Bombyx mori: one gene and its partner. The protein of the gene in region 1 binds, or shares a complex with, the protein of each later gene. Links are inferred from orthologs where the notes say so. Each region holds a gene or a part of one and is shown on either strand. Other genes may lie near its edges. The genes, in order: rab5 GDP/GTP exchange factor and ras-related protein Rab-21.

The links.
Region 2: the proteins of rab5 GDP/GTP exchange factor (region 1) and ras-related protein Rab-21 are in contact, whole or in part, in a crystal structure (PDB 2OT3), measured with the Homo sapiens proteins. The link is inferred for Bombyx mori from reciprocal best matches to the Homo sapiens genes RABGEF1 and RAB21. Residues at the interface, in NP_001273991.1 of Homo sapiens: Leu253, Cys254, Lys296, Phe299, Asn300, Lys303, Pro309, Ala310, Ser311, Ala312, Asp313, Phe315, Leu316, Pro317, Ile320, Leu347, Met348, Thr349, Gly350, Glu351, Gly353, Tyr354, Tyr355, Thr357, Asn358, Cys360, Cys361, Ala364, Phe365, Ser373; in NP_055814.1 of Homo sapiens: Ser19, Phe20, Lys21, Gly26, Glu27, Gly28, Lys32, Thr33, Leu37, Thr50, Thr51, Leu52, Gln53, Ala54, Ser55, Phe56, Ala71, Trp73, Asp74, Thr75, Ala76, Gly77, Gln78, Arg80, Phe81, Leu84, Ile87, Tyr88, Asp91.

Annotation. Positions count from the first base shown.
Region 1 is NC_085116.1:16,256,750-16,260,578, forward strand, and holds part of rab5 GDP/GTP exchange factor, read left to right. Parts: intron 1-1,930; coding exon 1,931-2,110; intron 2,111-2,764; coding exon 2,765-2,988; intron 2,989-3,688; coding exon 3,689-3,798; intron 3,799-3,829. UniProt on the Homo sapiens protein: Rab effector protein acting as linker between gamma-adaptin, RAB4A or RAB5A. Involved in endocytic membrane fusion and membrane trafficking of recycling endosomes. Stimulates nucleotide exchange on RAB5A. Can act as a ubiquitin ligase.
Region 2 is NC_085107.1:9,454,435-9,458,999, forward strand, and holds ras-related protein Rab-21, read left to right. Parts: upstream 1-1,467; 5' UTR 1,468-1,601; coding exon 1,602-1,609; exon of another isoform or gene 1,610-1,776; coding exon 1,777-1,933; intron 1,934-2,017; coding exon 2,018-2,185; intron 2,186-2,268; coding exon 2,269-2,387; intron 2,388-2,472; coding exon 2,473-2,683; 3' UTR 2,684-4,270; downstream 4,271-4,565. UniProt on the Homo sapiens protein: The small GTPases Rab are key regulators of intracellular membrane trafficking, from the formation of transport vesicles to their fusion with membranes.

The DNA of each region.
Region 1 (3,829 bases):
AAATATCAGTTAACTTTTACGCTATCGAGAACGTTAAAAACTCGCACTAAGGACACAAATTTAGGCACAATCTTTCTTTTTCATTACTGTATTCACGACTTGTATTCCATTAACCAGATCGAGGTGTTGTCGAAAATTCGATTGTATTTTACAACGGCTGCTCCACCATTCGGATAGGAATCCATTATTGCTTCTAGAAATAGGCCGTGCGTGCTTTGGATACTCCTTACCAGACATTTCGTTTTTTTTGTTGTTGGCTGTAACTCATTTGTCAACTTGCTCTCAGTACGTATTTATTTTAAGCCGTTGGTACTCTTGGAAACGTTTGTACACTCCTCCTTTGCATTGCATTTGCACCCTATAAAACTGCTTCAGGTTTTTTTTAATGAAATTTCTCGGGTCGAATTTGTTCTTTAATGTACCTACTATTCGCATGTAATTATTCGCAGCGAGTGTAGTAGTTTCTATATTATTTCCCACGGCCACATTTTGCTTGAGTGAAGACTGCGAATCAGCCAAATTATAAGGGGGATTCCCAGAATAAGTGAAGCGTTAACTTGCTAAAGTAGCCATCCAGTAGATGGAGCTCTTTAAAATCCAGCAATGGATGTATGGATGATGATAATATTGGTTAAACGATTTGATTGCCACCTATTGGACGTCGATGGTACTAAACTAGACATTTACTCTGCAATATCAATGATTACGGTCCAAATTTCAACCCTAACCGGCCCAAAATTTCTTTGAATACGAACAAACAAACTACCATAATTAAAATGAATTGATATGTTGATTAGGAGATGGAAGATATAGATAAATGTAGTTATTCTAATAGCATGATACGCGTCCAAGGCAATAAACTTGTCAGTAACAGTTCACACTCTCGACGGGTGATAGATAAGTTTTTAAACGTAATATTGTTTATCATGATAATATAAATTATTAAGACCGTGGCGATATGGAAACAATTATGTGAAAAACACGGATTTCTCTATATTGATCTCTATATCGATTTGAAGTCGTCGTGGCCTAAAGGATAAGACGTCCGGTGCATTCGTGTGTAGCGATGCACCGGTGTTCGAATCCCGCAGGTGGGTACCAATTTTTCTAATGAAATACGTACTCAACAAATGTTCACGATTGACTTCCATGTTGAAGGAATAACATCGTGTCATAAAAATCAAACCCGCAAAATTATAATTTGCGTAGTTACTGGTGGTAGGACCTCTTGTGAGCCCGCGCGGGTAGGTACCACCACCCTGCCTATTTCTGCCGTGAAGCGGTAATGCGTTTCGGTTTGAAGGGTGGGGCAGCCGTTGTACTGTAAAAACTGAGATACTAGAACTCATTTCTCAAGGTATGTGGCGGAATTTACGCTGTAGATATCTATGGGCTCCGGTAACTACTTAATGCCAGATGGGTCGTGAGCTCCGCCACCCATCTAAGCAATAAATAAGAAAATTAGTTGTTAACACCTACGGATGACGAATATTTGTATGCCAAAATGAAACATTCGTGGTTCTCTTTTAAGATTAATAGTTTTTCTTTAATTTAATCACGCTTACGGAAAGCTTCCAGAACATTATAGGCGACGCACTGTGACTTTAGCCCACTGAGTTTCTCGCCGGATCTTCTCAGTGGGTCGCGTTTCCGATCCGGTGGTAGATTCTGCGAAGCACTGCTCTTGCTAGGGTCAGTGTTAGCAACACTGCGGCTTGAGCCCCGTGAGCTCACCTGTGTAGGTGTGTAAGTGTGTACTTAGGGCGAAGCTGAAATAGCCTCTCAAGGCTATCAGCATAGGTAGGGAAAAAAAAAGGAAAAAAAGTAACTTTTACTATTTCCGTGTGACATCGAGAAATGTTTTCGTTTAATTATTCAATGTCCTTTATTTCGATTCGGTTAATTATTGAATGTCCTTTATTTCGAACAGAGAAAGCCTCATCGTTTACATCGACTCTTCCTAGATCGGACCAGAGGAAGTCCGAACGCGGCCTCAAGTTGTCCTCGCACGCGTCCTTCTCGAAGTTCGAAGAGAAGCGCCTGCGACAAAGCGAAACGCTCAAGAAGACTAATCTACTGAAGTTTAACGTGTTCAAGAAGAATATTACAGGTATACAATACAAGGTTTTTGTTCATTTTTCTGTCGTATGGCACCTTTAGAATTAAAGTGGCTTAAGATCCATAAATTCTTGTTTTTTGGTAAACACAAAAAATGTTGTTTTAGTTTTTCGATTTTAATACTTTAGGGTATGCCCTTGATTATAAAGAGACAGGAAGAGTAGGTTTTCCTTTTTTTAGACTAAAAAAGACTGTAATTTTATAAACTAATAGAATATATGTTTATATACTTGTTCAAATTTATTTACTGGTGATAGGACCTCTTTTGAGTCCGCACGGGTAGGTAACAACACCCTTCCTATTTCTACCGTGAAGCGGTGATGCTTTTCGGTTTGGGGGGTGGGGTAGCCGTTGTAACTTACTTGAGTCCTTAGAACTGATATCTCAAGGTGGGTGGCGCATTTACGTTTTAGATGTCTATGGGCTCCAGTAACCATTTAAAACCAGGTGGATTGTGAGCTCATCCACCCATCTAAGCAATAAAAAATAATAATTAATTATTATTATAACAGAAGATGATGTTTTATTTTATTCGCTGCGATCTCTACATTTATTACAATACAATTATAATCAATACAAGAACAGATCTATCGGACAAAATCAAAGTGAGATTGTGCTAAGATTTATAGCTATTTATTCATTTCAGATGACCATGAAATCTCAACGGAAAGACGTCAGCCAGAGTTTAAGATTCCGACCGCAGTGTTCGAAGGTATGAAGGCAGACTTCCGGGTCCGCTTTCCCTCGTTTCCCCCCCAGATAGACCGGGACGCTAGGGGCTTCGTTCACACCTTCATCCTGGATGTCATAAAATGGGCTGCTATAATGAATGTGGACGAGCTCTCGGAGAGGGTGCAGAAGCAGTACCAGGTGGGTGGTGAAACTGAATTTTTCTCTGTTGTGTTGTCTGGTGTACCAATGGTGTGATTCTGTTTTGTAAGTCGTCGTGGCCTAAACGATAAGACGTCCGGTGCATTCGTGTCGAGCGATGCAACAGTGTTCGAATGCCGCAGGCGGATATCAATTTTTCTAATGAAATGCGTACTTAAAAAATGTTCACGATTGGCTTCCTCGGTGAAGGAATAACATCGTTTAAAAAAAAACCCGCAAAATTTATAATTTGTGTAATTATTGGCGGTAGGATGTCTTGTGAGTCCGCACGGGTAGGTACCACCACCCTACCTATTTCTGCTGACTGAAGTTTTTAAATACTTTCTACATGGGGAATTTTGTGATATTTCATTTTACCTGGCTATATAGAGACTTAGATATTACCTCTGTATCTTGTACGCAATATCTTAATCTATTTGAAGGGTAGACGTTCTACCTATTATTAAGTGGCTCCCGGGGTTATTAGACATTTTAACGTCAACATTTTTAATAGTATCGAACTCAAAAACACCGTTCATGGGAAGGATGGTGATGCTCTTACAGGTCACATGGTTTCCCTTTAATGTGAGGCGGTTTTTGACGCACAGTTATTTGGACCACTCTGACCCTGGGCTCGTGTAACAGTCCATTTGAGCTAATGCTAAAAAAAAGTACCTCATTATTTTCCTTCACGCCCCAGCGCTTCATGAAGCACATGGAAACGTCGCAGCACTACGCATCTGTAGACTCGGACGCCAGAGAGCTGCTCATAGATTTCGTCGAGAAACACGCCATGACCTACTTACATGAGTAAGTAATGGAGTTTATGTTATGCAGACTA
Region 2 (4,565 bases), on another chromosome or scaffold:
AATGGCCGTCCCAATTTACCCAGCGTCCGGGGTAAATTGACACGGTTAAGGGTTAAATTGGGATATTTGTAAGGGTTGTCAACTCGCAGTACTGCGATATATTGGTAGGTGCCATATAATTATTTATATGGACCGAAATGATGAATACAATCCATAATTTAAGCACAATACACAACATAGTGTAAATTAAGCTGGTTTCTATTCCGAAGCGATGTGACGTGAATGACAATCAACAATACAATGATCAAAAAAAGTATATGCATGTTATATTTTAGAAAATTATTATTTAATTTCCTTAAAAATCACAATTCTGAAACAAAATCATAAAATAGAATAAAAAATAGAAAACAAAAGGACTGGAAATGCAATAATACAATTTTATTTAATCAACATTTTCAAAATAATCTTTGAGCAAGAGTAAGATATCAGGTGAATAAGATAAAAAAAACAGCTTTATCTGATTACTGCCAATAATAACAAAAATAAAAGAAATTCTTTCTAAGCTAAATAACTAAACTCAATTAATTCACTCACTCATAATTGGATATCTCGGATTTTTAATTAATGTTACATTTAAAATCTGAGGCCTGTTTTTATTTGTGTGTGCGTTGTGAATGTTAACAAAATCATGATTCGACGCGTGAATAGATTCTGAAATAACAAAAGTTTTGATTCGTTTGAGTTCTTTTAACTTTTAATTTTTTTTATTGCTATAAAGAACATACGACCGGGCAGATATTACAAGGTAAATGTCGCGAAAAAAAAGTAATTATATATATACTTTTCTTTTACCTATAATACTTACATAAACTAACTGATAAACACATTAACCTTCTTTACATCACGCAATTAAGTGATAGTATAGGCTAAAAAATCTATTATAAGATATCAGTGACAACCCTAACAAGCCATCCCTATTTTGTCTTTTGGCGTTCCAATTTTGTGTTTTCTCGTCCCTAATTTTTCCAGTCTCGTTCCCAATTGCCTTACATACGTCTCAATTTTCCCCAAAAAGAAAGGAAAAAATATACATTTTTTATTTTGTTGAAATATTGTATTTAAAATAAGAATATTGCAACTTACCGTTTGTTGTGGTATTTCCAGGTGTATTAAAAACTTATATAAACTGTGATCTTATTGAAAAAACAACGATAATATTACTTTTTTTAAAAGTTCTTTAAGCTGTTTTAAAACGCACTTTTCAACCACTATTTTAAATTTAATTTGACGAATTTTTGGGACCAACTTAACTCATGTTTAGTACTTCCATAGTTAACTTGGTTTTTCTTCTATACATTGATAAATATTACCTTAAAGAAAATTAGGTAGATTCCGTGCTACAAGTACTTTGAGAATCTTCCGCAGGTTTGTCCCAATTTACCCCCGAATCCCAATTTACCCCATGTCATGGTACCTACGGTACTGTACCGTATGCTTTAGAATAAACTGTCAAAATTTGGTATCTGTCACATTGAATACTGACAGATACAAAATTTTCTTCACTGTCATTTGTCAGTGTTGATTTGTCAACTTGATTAAAATTACGAAAATATCAACAAATCAAACCAATGAAATAGTTGTGAAATTTTGATATTAACTTAATGTTAAGGTTTGTTTAAGTTAAGGTTTTGAAAATAGAGTGAACAGTTTTTTAAACATTTTATAACGCTTATCAAACGTAATTTAATTGTTATTGAGACTACATGTTTCGTGTTGTAACGTTTATCTGATTGTCTATTTTAACTTTAATTTGCTCACATACCAGTTAAGTAACAGGTTTACATCAAAATATTCTAAAAAAATGACTACTACGACTGGAGGTGCACGAAATTTTAAAGTAGTTCTTTTGGGTGACGGATGTGTCGGAAAAACTTCATTATTATTGCGTTACATTGAAGATAAATTTAACGAAAAGCATCTGACTACGCTTCAGGTAACTATGACGTATATGAACTAATTTTGTAAGACTGAGTTAATCCCTTTTGTCGATGTCTATGACTGGATTTTTTTTTTGTAGGCCACATTCTTAAATAAAAGGTTGAATATTAATGGAAATCGTGTCAATCTTTCCATTTGGGATACAGCTGGCCAGGAGAAGTTTCATGCTCTGGGACCAATATACTACAGAAACTCTAATGGTGCGATTCTGGTTTACGATATTACTGATGAAGATTCATTTAGAAAGGTAAAATAAGAATTTGAATGACTGTATCTTAACATTTGTAATGAATATTGTAACTATATTAAACAATATAAAATCAATTATAGGTAAAAAATTGGGTGAAAGAATTGAAGAAAATGTTGGGATCAGATATTAATCTGGTAATTGCAGGAAATAAAATAGACCTTGAACATGAACGCACTGTTTCACTAGAAGAAGCAGAAAGGTAAGAATGAATGTAATCTTCTTAAATATTATTACTAAAGATACATTTTGTTGATAAATACTCTTTATTGAATTATATATTCCAGCTATGCAAAATTAGTAGGAGCTAAACATTATTACACTTCAGCAAAATTAAACCAGGGTGTTGAAGAATTGTTTCTTGACTTGACTAGAGAAATGTTGGAAAGACAAGAACACAATACACAGACTGAAGTAAACAGAACATCACAAGTTGTAGTAGTCGATGATGAGGTACCTGTGCAATCAACCTGCTGTTCAGGACACAGGAGTTCCTAAATTAATAGATTTTTTTGTATTCATAGTTTTCATATTTTAAACTATAAAAATGAAAATAATTTACAATGTATATTATGGTGGCTATACAGAAAAATATTTATAGTAATTTAACAATAAACAAGATTACTTGTAATTTTCCACTAAATTTAATTATGTTATATGACTAAACAGCTAGGTTAATTAAACATTTTATTTTAATATATAATACTGATCTTTAAGAAATAAATATTTATCAAATCAATATAATTTGACATGGGAATTTTGATATTTCTTGACAGTATATCTTAATGAAATTCTAAATTAGTTCTATTAAGATGTCATACAAATATGTGTTTTGAGTGCTATAGTGTATCAAATGACATATTATTTGCCAAAACATAATAAGCTTAGGGGCTGTGAGAGAGGAGGTGGATACACTTACACTGCCAAAATCATAAATATCAATTTGCTTTATTCACGTTTGGTTTAAAAATAGGATATAATGGGTATGTTTAAGATAACCTGTAATTTTAAAATGACTATTTTTGTTATTATTAGAGTTTATAATTTTAGATCATATAGTTTTAATAGGATTAATTTATCTTGGCTACAAAATTAATTGCAAAGAAGATTCACTACTTATTTATTCAAGTCAAGATTTCAAATTTTTATTGTAATTTGTTTTTGCATATTATTTCATATGCGATAAATAGCGTACGGCGAAATTATTTATTGCAGAAGTATGCATATTGGATGGTATTGTGTGGGTGAATAATTTTTATCATGTCAAATCAATGATATTGAAGTGAAGATAACATATCTCATTGACATGACATACCTAAAAGTATAATGAAAAATCATCACAATTATAAATTTGAAAGATTAAACAATACATAATAATATATGTAATTTAAGCTTAATACTTTAGCTTGCGAAAAAAATTTTTTATTAGTAAATGTTTTTGCTTTTCTAGCCTTTTTTATCATCCCACAGCTCAACGTTGTTAAATAATTGAAAAGACTTGCGCCATACGTGTCTTGTCCACCAGATCTCCGCTGAGCGCTCTCGAGCTCTGCTGAAGCTGAGCCATTTCACTAGCTAACATAACTTAACCTAACACCTTAGAAGATGTACATGCAGACTTATCAGCTAACTCTTGTAGAAATTTTAACTTATCTCCGAACATAGTCAAATGATTTGTAAAACAGCTTTACTTTACTACTACCTACTACTTATTACTAATTAGAATGTTGCAACATAATTTTAGGTGATTTCACGAATTATGTAACTTTTACACAGTAACTGGTTTTATATTGAGGTCATGGTGTAGTGTAGGTATAATTGGATAGGTATTATTTATCATAGTATCATAATTTTGTCAACGCACTCTATAACTGGAAGCCCCAAATTCAGATTGACTATTATAACCTTAAATGTAGAAATTTGCTTCCTAATGAAATCGAAGTCAGCCAACTAATTATCTAACATGTTAATAATCACAGAATAATTTTTTAAACCCATTTCGTGTAATAATGTATTAAAAACATCAATAAAATGATATCCATACATGTCAGACAATAAGAATTAAATTAGTCTGTTGAAAACAAAGTTATAAATCATTTCATCAGGCAGTAAGGACTGTCAACAAAAAATAACGAAGACAAGATTATTCACATTTTAATTTACCTATTCGCTGGTAGCTTAAGAGGCTATTCAAGCTGCGTCCGGCTGAATAGGTGAGCACGCAGGATCAACCTGAGGGAATTTGCTAACCAGAGCAGCAGCAGGCTCTAGCCCTAGCAAGAGCAGTGCTCTGCAGAATCTACCACCTGATCGGAATCGTGACCCACTGAGAAGATCCGGTGAGGAACTCAGTGGGCTGTGTCTATAGGTTAGTTCGCTC